2 linked regions of the Canis lupus familiaris genome follow. The protein of the gene in region 2 purifies or fractionates together with the protein of the main gene of each other region. This does not show direct contact. Links are inferred from orthologs where the notes say so. Each region holds a gene or a part of one and is shown on either strand. Other genes may lie near its edges.

What was found. The genes of interacting proteins can lie anywhere in the genome.
Region 1: the proteins of FYB1 (region 2) and LCP2 purify together in Homo sapiens (co-immunoprecipitation; 6 studies listed by BioGRID and IntAct, with this or other methods). This does not show direct contact. The link is inferred for Canis lupus familiaris from reciprocal best matches to the Homo sapiens genes FYB1 and LCP2.

Annotation. Positions count from the first base shown.
Region 1 is NC_049225.1:42,500,283-42,506,487, reverse strand, and holds the start of LCP2 (lymphocyte cytosolic protein 2), read right to left. Parts: upstream 3,964-6,205; 5' UTR 3,685-3,963; coding exon 3,607-3,684; intron 1-3,606. UniProt on the Homo sapiens protein: Adapter protein primarily involved in signaling pathways within T-cells, as well as other immune cells such as platelets, mast cells, and natural killer (NK) cells.
Region 2 is NC_049225.1:70,767,579-70,773,113, reverse strand, and holds part of FYB1 (FYN-binding protein 1), read right to left. Parts: intron 3,858-5,535; coding exon 3,835-3,857; intron 2,796-3,834; coding exon 2,726-2,795; intron 1,795-2,725; coding exon 1,657-1,794; intron 156-1,656; coding exon 130-155; intron 1-129. UniProt on the Homo sapiens protein: Acts as an adapter protein of the FYN and LCP2 signaling cascades in T-cells. May play a role in linking T-cell signaling to remodeling of the actin cytoskeleton. Modulates the expression of IL2. Involved in platelet activation.

The DNA of each region.
Region 1 (6,205 bases), about 28 Mb from region 2:
CTACTGTTCCAATAACGGTAACAGAAATTGCTGATAATTGAGCGCTTGCTATCTGGCAGGCGCTCTTCTGTGTATTTTAACCAATCTTAAGTCTTTAATCCTCACATCTTCCAGAGACAAAGGTGCAGATGGCTAAGCAATTTGCATGAGGTCCATGGGTAGCAGGTGACAGAGGTGATAATCGGGCTTCAGAACAAAGCTTTAATGTCTCTGTCAGGAATGTCCTCTCTTTGTTGGTAACATGATAATTTACAGTAAGTAAAGCAAACAAATTTAAGTGTACCTTAATACACCATCCGGATCAGAGTATAGAAAGAACATCATGGATATCCTTCTACACACATATTTTTTTTCTATTTAAGATAAATTAAACTGGATTCTCAGAATAGAGTTATAAGATTCACAGGAACGATCTTGGTTGCTTTCCCAAAGAGTCACATCTGTTATTAATCTCAGTTTTCTGTTTCACCTTGTCTTCAGCAGCATGAGAATTTGCATTTGAAACATCTCCAAATGTGATACTTTGGGCTGGAGTATTTAAAGTGAAATGTCTGTCCTGGAGAACCTTTGGTTCTTGTCAAAGTATGAGGCTCAAAATCTGTGGCAACCTTCTTCTGGGGGCAAATCTTGGTCTTTTTTTTAATGGTCAATCAATCTAAAAAGTGAATAGAATTGTTGTAATTTCTTGGCTTGAAAGGATGGGATAAACTTTAAAACTATCAGAAAAAGCTGATTTAGAGGTCAAGTTGGAATGTGAGCAACATTTGAGGCACCCTGATCATCCCTTCTATTTCCATGCAGTGAGGTAGAAGTAGTTCTTGGAATATTTAACTGCCTTTAATTCATCATTTACTGTCATCATTATCAGATACAGCTCTGATTTTGCAGATTGCTAGGTTTGACTCTACATACACAGATAGCTCTGCAGACTGGGGCTGCTCTAGAAGTTGATTCTGATCCAGTAACCAGATACCAGGAAAGCATCCGTAGGCCTGGGGGCTAGAATTCGTATTTTTAGCAAGCATATAGGGGATTCTACGAGCACTCAGCTCTGGTAGTCTAGAGGAGGTACTGTTGTTGTAGACGGGACAGCTGATGCTCAGAGAGGGGAAGGGACTGGTCTGAGGTCACACAGCTGGTTGGGAACATAACCGGGATTAGTAATGGCTCTGAGTCAATGCCTTTCCACTGCATGGCCCAGGAATGCTTTCCTGCCAAGTCAAAAGAAATTGGAGGGGTTAAAGAAATCCAAAACATGACCTCAGTCCTCAGAGAGGACTTCTATTCTAGGCAGGGGATGAACTACACATATCTAAGATAGGAAGACACAAAGGCCTGTCAATCTGCATAAACGTCCGCAGCTAGGGTCCGGTAAACAGAGCAAAAAAGGGAATTTCAGACATGAATTGGCCCCTCAATCTGTTGAGTGCTTCACACACCATATTTCTTTTAATTCTTTCAACAATCCCATGAGGGAAGTTGCTGTTAGCATCTCTCTTTTCCTGGTGAAGTAGCTGAGGCAGAGAGAGGTGAAAGGAAGGTCACTAAGCTAGCAGGTGGTAGAGCCAGGATTCAGAGCAAAGTGTCTGACTACAGGGCTGGCTGGGAAGTGTCTCCGAAGAGGCCCAACCTCTCTGCTTTGTTAGAAATTGCACCTGCTCATGGATCCTTTGAACAGGATATTTGATGACTAAGATCCATTCCCAAGTGACTCCATGGTCAGTTCACTTGATGTTTTCTCTCTGGAGAAATCAAGGTTCCTAGGATTTGCAGTTGAGTCTGTGGGGGCTGAGACTTCCCGAATCACAGATTCCCTTCGATCTCCTTATCCTACCATCATTTTGATGAGGGATTGGTTTGGGTTTTTTTTTTTGGGGGGGGGGCGGTTTATGAAGAATGAAACTGTCCCAGTGCTGCAGATGGGTCCCAGGGTCTGAGGTCTCCAAGAAGCAGCTCTCCCTTCCCCCACCTCAAGCAGATGGCCGGCACAGATTCCTTTCGATCTCCTCATTCTACCATCATTTTGGTGAGGGATTTGTTTAAATCACCCCTGACCTGTAGTCCACCTCCCTGCACTAAGGGGAGATTTGCCCATGGATTCTGCTATTACTCGACCAGGTTGTGTAGTTCTTCTCACACTGAAGACAGGACCTGTCTGGGCATCTCAGTCTGTTCCTAGGGTTCTCTCACCAATTCTCAGTATTTTCTCCTTTCTTTAATTGAGGTAACACGCCCTTTACAGCATCTTGGCAAGTTTCGTCTTCTTGCCCTAATTTATTTGGTCTACATTTAAGAAAAATACTTCAAAAGGCAGTTGTCTCAAGCATCTTTGTACCCACAGTGCTGAAGCTTAAGCTTATTGTGACCTTTTGGAGGAAAGAACAAAAACAAGATACACACAAAGCAGCAAATAACAGGATCTGTGGGCTATACATCTTTCATGCCACACTCGATTCTATATCTCCACATGTTTCTTCTTTAGGTTGATGGGGAGCAGTTAGGTATCATATAGACCCCATGTGTCTATACATCCCAGGGAGCCCCATTCCACCCCCAGGGGAAAAAAAAAACAGAAAGTTGACTTAAGTGACATCTAAAATCTTGACTTTAAAATATCATCTTTACAACCATGTGAAGTGTCAACAGAATTCCATCCCATCCTCCAGGGACTGGGGTGTTGGAAGCTCAGATGTTCCTTACAAGACTTCTTATCTTTTGAACAGGGATGGAGAGTACCCAAGTTGTGTGGCTTGGAATCTACTCAAGCAGATGTGTGACCTGTGGTCTCCTCAGCAGATGACCAAGCACAGGTCCTTGAGCAGCTCCTCCAGGGCCAGAAGGCAGGATGGTAACACTCTAGTTTCAGGTCTGCCACAGGCTTGGCCTCTGACCCTGCTGGCAGAGCTCTTCCTCTTACAGGCCTCAGTTTCCTTGGCTATCTCAACTGATCATAACCTAGAGCTCATAGCAGTTCTCCCACCTGCTTCACAAGACCCTCATAAAGCTCCAGTGAGACTCTGTTCTCCGTGAGGAGCCCTCCTTCAGGTCACGAGCAATGACTGCCCAGCCACCATCTCTGGTATTGTTCGTGCTAGCCTTCTCCGTCCCTCCTGCCCTGCCTTTTCTTTCTCCCATGCCCAGGGCCCCATTCACCCCTTTCTAGTAAGCAGCCTTGATCTCATTAGTGGCTTCAGCAGTTCTGAGTCCCCTGAGCACGGACTTTGAAGCCAGAAACGCGTGACTGGAATCCTGCTTCTGTCACTCGTAGTCCCTGGGGCTTTCGGCCATTTAACCTTCCTGAGCCTACTTTCAGCTGAGCCCAGAGGACCGCAATACTGGAGAGTGTTAAATGGGACAGTGCCTGCAGAGCGCACACTCAAGCCCGGCGCTCAGTAGATACACATCCATCGGAGGGACCCCTTCTCCCCAGAACTCATCGCCAAGAAACTCAGGGGTGTATGGACATCTACATGGTGCTCGCTCAACTGGTAAGGCTGCCACGGGGTTGGAAGTTCTCTGCGCTGTTCTGCCTGACTCCTTCTTCAAGCCACTGCCCACCCCGCTGAGGGCAGCCAGCCTCCCCGCCCACAAAAGAGCAAAACTCACCTTCCTGAAGTAGTCGGCCAGGTTGTCGGGGTCCCAGGTCAGGACGTCTGAGCGAAAGGGCACGTTCCTCAATGCCATGGCTGCTCTCCCAGGACAGAACTCACAAGCTGAGCATGGGTGCTGCACCCATGGATGGAGAACCCCAGTCCAGAGCGTGGAGGTGTTCTTGGCTCTTCCAACTTCCAGTCACCGTCTGGAACACCCTTGTTGGAGCACAGGGCTTTTCTGCTGTAACCAGATCCCAGAAAGCAACAGCTTCCTCTGCGAACAAATATGGTCTCTTCTCAGAAAACGACTCAGCAAGTTTCCTTCACCACTTCCTCTGCTCGGCTCTAAATAAGTAAACAAGGAAGCCCAGCTCTGGTGGCTGGAGGAGGTAGAGAGAGCGACAGGGTTGGTATTGTACCCCCTGGCCCGGCCAGCCCCGCCCCGTGGGAGAGGCAGTGAAGGGGACTTGGATTCCAGTGTGAGCCCAAGTATGTGTCCATTAAAACTCCTGGCACCCAGATATTTGTCCCGCAGTCCTGCTGGGCCGGGTCTTTGCAGATGAAAATCTATTTTGACAGTTGACCTAAAATACACATGATCTCCCACATCAGCAAAGTGCCAGGGGGAAGGAGCATGGCCTTTTAAAATTTTTTTTTAATTTTTTTATTATTTATTTATGATAGGCACACAGTGAGAGAGAGAGGCAGAGACACAGGCAGAGGGAGAAGCAGGCTCCATGCACCGGGAGCCCAACGTGGGATTTGATCCTGGGTCTCCAGGATCGTGCCCTGGGCCAAAGGCAGGCGCCAAACTGCTGCGCCACCCAGGGATCCCTTTTAAAAAATTTTTTTTTTTAATTTTTTTATTAGAGCATGGCCTTTTAATGCTTTCCAGCCATCCCTCAGTCTCTCCCAAAAGGACAACATTGACATTCCTTCAGCAGCCTCCGTATAATTATGAGAGGATTCTCGGTGAGTGAGCTGGGCACCCAGGGTTGAGAAAGAGGTAGACCTAGGTTCAATTTCTGGTAAGATTATCTCCATGCTGCGTAACCTCCTGCAAGGGCTTAAAAATCTAGGAGTCTCAGTCTCCATATCCGTAAAATGGGAAAACAAGAATTGTCTCATATACACATAACCCTTAGATGCAGCTAACTAGACAAACTTAAAGAGAAAAAAATTAAGGGCACACAAATAGTGACCACTGTTGATGTTGCCCGAGGCTCTATTTTCTGTTGTTTCCCCCAAAGACTCTAGTCACCACTGATCCCCCCGTATCTTCTACCCAAAGAGGACATTCGCTGGAGTGGCCCTGCAGCAGGGCATCTGCTGCTTTCTTAGCTGGTCTCAGACCCCGGCACTTCTCCTAGTATGTGCACCTCATTGGAAGTGGGAGAATCCAGTGTAAAAAAGCAAATATATTTGTGCAACATCACAGTCTCTAAACATAGGTCCTCCACTTCAGCCAATGCTCTGCGCGCGCGCACACACACACACACACAGAGCCATCAGCTCTGATATTTGAGGGAAGAATCAAGCTCTGTTGCACTAAGTGACACTATGTCATGTGGAGGTACCTTCTTGAAGCCTTTCTGAGGGGAGCCTTGGCCATGCGTGGTTCCCATCTTACACACAATCTAAGGAGCCCTACTTTCAATGCACCAGCCTCTCCAGGTTGTTGTGCGCTTATAGGAGATTTGCATTTCATTCCAGGCCCAGCACCTGGGAAGCAGTCCATAAAATGTGGTGCCAGGGGGCTGGGGGCATTAGTCAATCCAAAGCTCTTCTCAAGGCCTGGAAGAGCCCTTGATAACTAACTGTGCTCTACAGGGCACAGCCCTGCTGTTCAAAAGCTCTGCCATTGGTGGGAGAGGTCACTTGGTGTTTCAAATCACTGGAATAGTGGTCAATGACAAAGTTATTTGCAAAGAGGGAAAAGAGAGAAATCACTTCCGGATAGGGTAGTCAAAGAAGATGTCGTGGGGGGCACCTGGGTGGCTTAGTTGGTTGAACGTCTGACTCTTGGTTTCCATTCATGTTATGATCTCAGAGTCATGAGATCGAGCCTGAGTTGGGCTCCATGCTCCTCGGGCAGTCTGCCTGAGATTCTCTCTCTCTTCTCCCTCTGCCCGCCCCCCTCCCGTGTACCCACAAGTGCACATGCATGCTCACTTACTCTCTCAAATAAATAGATAAGTAAAATCTTTTTTTTTTTTTTAAGAAGATGTTGTGTAATTATCTGAGACTTAAGTGGGGACTTGGAAGTTGAATGAGAGAGAGGACATTCTGGACCTGTGGGTATGTGTGTTGTCATATACTTCCTGAGCAAACAAAACACACAGCACCTGTGTAAAGGAATATTTAAGATCATGTTATAAAGAGAAACATTTTTTTAATGATGTTCACTCCCACTCAGAAAAATAAATATCTACAGAAGCACTGACTTTGAATTAAGGTATAGCTAAATACTAGGTTCCTTTGAAAGAATTATCCTATAAATGTGGCCAAGATGAACAATCCGTGGAGCTCATTTAGAAGAGAGACGCAGAAGGTAAGAAATGTGAATGACAGTGATGATGGAGATAAGAATCATCACGGGTAAAACATGTGGA
Region 2 (5,535 bases):
CAATTACATGAGTTATTATATCCAGAGCCAGGACTTTAATCTAGAAACCATGACTATATCCAATGCTTTCCCACTATCTCATCTGCAATAAATGAGATAGAAAATATATAATTAGCTTTTATTACTTACCCAATTGTTTAGGAGGAGAAGGGAAACTGGAAAGAAAATGAGAACACATTTATAATCAGACCAATATAAACGAGAAATTGAGACCTTTTATTTAGGGGAGGCATGAACAAGTAATAGCCCAGAGGCTTCAGACTGCTAATTAATCTATTTGATGGTCATTCCTTTCTCATCTCCATTTCTCCACTGAGTCTCAGCTCCTTTCCATCAATTTTCAATTTTGCAAGACTTTTTTTTTTTTTTTTTTTAATTCCAATGGTGGCCAAAAAAGTCAAAAGTCAAGGTATCCAGTGGTTTATTTTGCCCATAGCCATCTATTTTTGAGGTTCTTCCAAATATTTTCAGATTTGTTCTCTGAAGTTTGGGCATATTATCACATCAGAGTAAATTAAATGGACTCAATGTTTTGGAGTCATTGTGGCATAGCTCAGGTCAAAACTTTTTATTTGACTTAAAGAGTAGAAATGAACAAAGGTCATAGGATTCTTTCTATGACCATGTTTTCCCAAACAGGAGAATGGTGAATAAGAGAGGAATATCCACTGTAGCCACAGAGGAAGAGTTTATTAATCTGAAATCAGCATTGGGTGGCATTTAGTTGCAATCTAATCAGTAATCTGAAATCAGCATTGGGTGGCATTTAGTTGCAACAGAAAAAGGCCTTTGCTTTTATAACTTTCTGAACTTTAAACACACACACAAACACACATCTCTAGAAGAATGGTGCACAGTTATACTAAGGTGTGAAAGGTCATTAGTTCAAATGACTGAAAATCAAAATTAGGAGGTGTACAATAGGAGCAAGAAAAATAATCTCTGCCTTTATTTCTAAGTAAGGTCATCATTTGAATAATGCTGTATCAAGAGAGGATTTGTTAAAATCAAAGAGGATTTGTTATGTTTATTTACAATTTTGAGTGTCCTGTTTACTAGGTGTTGATTTTAGGTCTCACAGAAGAGTTTAAAATAAGGAATTCTATGTGGAATTAACATTTAAAAAGACATTAGTGAAGTATGGAGAATCTGTTGAGCTACCGAGACGTTGAATATTTATTTAGAGAAAAGAAATTCCAAATTTTGTCCTTTACTTCCAGCAAATTAATTTTTAAAAGAGGATGTATATTTTGAAGGGTAGTCACTATCAAATATTATATAATATAATGTGGCCTTGGCATTGTGAGCTTTTAGATATGATGCTACATTTAAAAAAAAGTTCTACTAAACGCAGTATGTAGGAGTATGTGAGGGTGTGTGTTTGTGCATTTGTGTGTGTTATCTGCACATGTTTGTTGGGAAGGCAAAATATATCTTTAAACCATATGATAATTTTTGAATACTTTGTGTTCCTCTTACATAAATGCGTGAGTGTAAGGGTGACAGTAAATAAGGCTAAAATGACTAATGGAAAATGACATCGAAGTGACTTAAGCCTGTCAGAATTTGGTTATTGGTTATAAAATATTAGTAGCATTTGATTAAATTAATATTAGTGTAGTTATTGTGCACTGGATTTGGTTGGTTGACTCTTACGATGAACCTTCATTATTGTCTGACTCAGAGACTTTAGGTTTCTCTCGTATACTTTTCTTTCTGTCATCTTTTCCCTTTAACATCTTCAAAATCCCCCAGGACCACGAATTACTCTTCTCTTCAACCTGTAGTGTGGAGCTTAGGAGCATGCAGGCATTGATCAGAATGGAATCATCAATGGAATGTGAAGATGGGTGGACATTCAGATTTTTTATAATTATACTGCATTGATCATTCAGGCAGTAAGTTACTCATTGTAGTCACCAAGATGATGCTTTTAAGTTTATCGGCCACGGTCTTTGAATATTGCTGCTACTGGTAGGTAAGTTATTTTTTTCTATTTAGTGAAATATCTCTTGGTTTTAAAACAGCAAGCTAAATCAAAATTAAGTTATAAGTGTCAATTTTGCATTATTTTATGTTTAAAATTAAGTGAAAATCTTTGTTTTAAAATATGCCATTATAAAAGTTTAAACACTTAGAGAATTAACACTGTTTTTTAATTTTTATTTTTTAATTTAAATTAAATTAATGAACATATAGTGTATTATTAGTTTCAGAGGTAGAGTTCACTGATTCATCAGTTGTACATAACACCCAGTGTTCATTATATCATGTGATCTCCTTAATGCCTGTCACCCAGTTACCCCATCCCCCTCAATACTAGTTTTGCCACAAATAGCATATGGTTTCATTTTATTTGGATTGCCTATAACTATGGTTATTATCCAGAGGATAGCCATACAACTGATAAACTCTCCAGAGATTATAGATTGATAAAAAAATGATTGTGAAAAGTTTGAAAAAAAAACTACAACACTGATAATTCTTTTTTATTTCATTTCTTTTGACAAAGTTGTTGAGATTCTTCCAAATAACATGCCACTTCACTTGAAGTGTGGTGCAATTATACTTTCTGACTTACATCTGCTATTAAGTAAACATTCAAACTATTATTCGTGTGGTAATAAGGAGCACTATTTTTTGTTTTTTTATTCAAACCAGAAATCGACACTAAATTTCAGTTGGCAAAAAATTTTCAAGAAAGCAGTTCACTGATTATTCTTACCCATCATCAGCATCTTCTTCTTCAATCCCATCATAAATATCATCATCTGGGGGAGGAGGTGGGAACATCCCTTCATTTGGATGGTGGGGGAGAGAAACTTCTGTTAATTTTATAATTTGGTCATGTAATAGTCACTCAAAATTTGATAATAAATCTGCCTTATTTAAACTGCAGAAAATATCCCTGTTCCTTATTAACCATTTAATTAAAGAATAACTTTATTTTCCCACTCTTACATAGATAGTAGGTAAATTAATTGTTTTGTTGATTATTTTTAAAGGAATTCTTAGAGGTGAAATTTGAATATTGAATATGAAGGATAATAAAGGGTACTGTGCAGTGGGGAGAATAAATATGAGAAAAAATAAAACTGAGTTGAAGATAGAGTTAAAATATTGTGGAAAAGAGGAGGGAGGAGGTGATAAGAAAAATTTAATTAATAGTGAGGGGACATTCAGAAAAAGAGAATGATCAAGATATAAGTGAAGAAAAACAGAATTAAACGTGAATTTGTGAATTTTGGTGGTAGCTCTGATTCATTTAATCAAAGTGATATTTTAGGAGTTAAAAACCCTTTGCTGTAAATCCCCAGGAACCTTGCTATTTGACAAATATTTATTTATGAAATGTTTATTGAGTACCTCCTCCTTGCAGAAATGTGTACAAAGAACTTATAATCTGACTTTTAGGATGAGAATTTTAGCACTTCAAGGTATTAGTAAAATACCTTTATTTTGGTGATGAGGATATGAGGAGTTTTTAGCTGTCATAGTTAAGGTAACCATATAAGTTATCATCCAAATAAGGATACTTCTGAAAGTGAAGGGGGATACTATTAATAATTGTGCTCAGACAATTGGCATAAATCAAGACTGCCCTGGGCACACTGGAAATAGAGTCACCCTATAACCCATAACAAACTTGGAGGAAAGAAGTGACTTGTTTAGGGTCACTCAGTGGTCAGGACTGCAATCTAGGTCATTAGCTCCTAATCCAGTGGTACCACATTAAGATCCTCCTCATTATGTGCAAACAAAAGCATCTTGTTATTAATATAGACAAAAATGGTGAAGACATAAAGAAATTGCTGATAAAAGTGTGTGGCTTACCTCCACTTCCACTCTGACTGTGGCTAGGAAAAAAATAAACAAATTAAATGAGCTTATGAATTATGTAGCTAATGGGAAGGAATTGCCTATATTGAACAGTTATGTAAAAGAGAAATAACACTGCAGTTAAAAGTTATCAGGATGTTGTATGTAAAGAGGAAGAAACATTGTTCCTTATCATAATAGAAACAAGGCAAAAACCAAACCAAAACAAACTAATAAGAACCAAGTGAACGTTAGTACTACATAAAGTCTTCAAAACAATGTTACTGTTTGCTTCTAACATTTCCCGTGAGGTAGTTTTCAGGTTATACATTATTATATCATTCTGTAGATAGATTTATGAAAAACAACCAACCAACCAGCAGTATTGTTCCAGGAGTCATAAAGAACCATTATTGCAATTAAATTCAATTCTCTTTTAATATGTTATACCCACAACATTTTGATCTTAGTCTAGTAGCATTATAAACTTTTTTTAAAGGGAGGGTTTCTAAAAACTTGGAATCTTACAAAATCTTATTCTTTTTTTAAAACAAAGATTATTTATTTGAGAGACTGCGCATGCACATGTGCAAATTGGAGGAGGGGCAGAGAGAAAGAGGGGGATAGAATCTTAGGCAGGCTCCACACCCTGAGCAGAGCCTGACTCGGGGCTCAATCTCATGACCCTGAGATCATGATCACAGCTGAAATCAAGAGCTGGGTGCCTAACCGACTAAGCCAACCAGGTACCCCGAAATTTTATTATTATTGCAAATAGTGTGGCCCTGAATTTTCTAAATCCATATTGTCTGTATTTCGTATTTATTTCTCTAACATTTTGTGTTTTCCCTGTTTTATAATCATCTGTTTTCTTGCCTGTGTCTCCCACTAAAATGTGAGTTCTGCTACAGCACAAGAAAAGTAGATTGTGAGAACTGGGAAAATCTCAGAGGACTGGCTTAATCCCCTCATTTTGTAGAAAGGAAACTGAGGCTCTGGAAAATGAAGTGACCTGACCAAACCCACTTTTAATGAACAGAAGAGCTGACATAAGAACTTCGGCATCCTGCCTTCCTCCATAATGTTTTGTCTACACTTCGCTGCACCCTCTGTAACTAGCATTTTTGTACTTTGGATAATCTGCCAGCAACAGATATCAGGCTAATATTATAACCATGCAGTATTAATTATACACTTGTATCTGATTCCTCAACCTTAAAGTCAGAATAAAAGAAATGTTCTAACACAGGTCTATGGTTAATTTAGGGGAAAAAAAATACCACCATACTCTAGTTAATGAAACTTTGTAGAAAAACATGCTATAAATGTCCTAATGTGTAAATAAGGAATTGATTTTTGATGAAGTTTAAGTATATTCTCCACTTGCTTCCATACTGTTTTCACATTCATTTTGTCTGACACTTCCCTTTGAGCGTGAAGCAAGCAGTTAGAATTATGTGAAAAATTGCAATTTTGGTTGGCTGCCACTCCTGGCAAATACATTTCATCTTGGAGACTCTTCTACCAATTCCCAACGAACAGAGTCTTAATAATCAGGAGCAAAGCTGCCACACATTATTTTATTTTTAGAGCAATTCTTTAGCTTCCTAAAATGGTCCATTTGGCATTTACAGGATGAAGTGGAAGGAGAGAAGCATGCTGGAAAAGAGAAAGGAAGGAAAGGAGGGAAGGAGAGATGCAAAGAAGTTTGGGGAG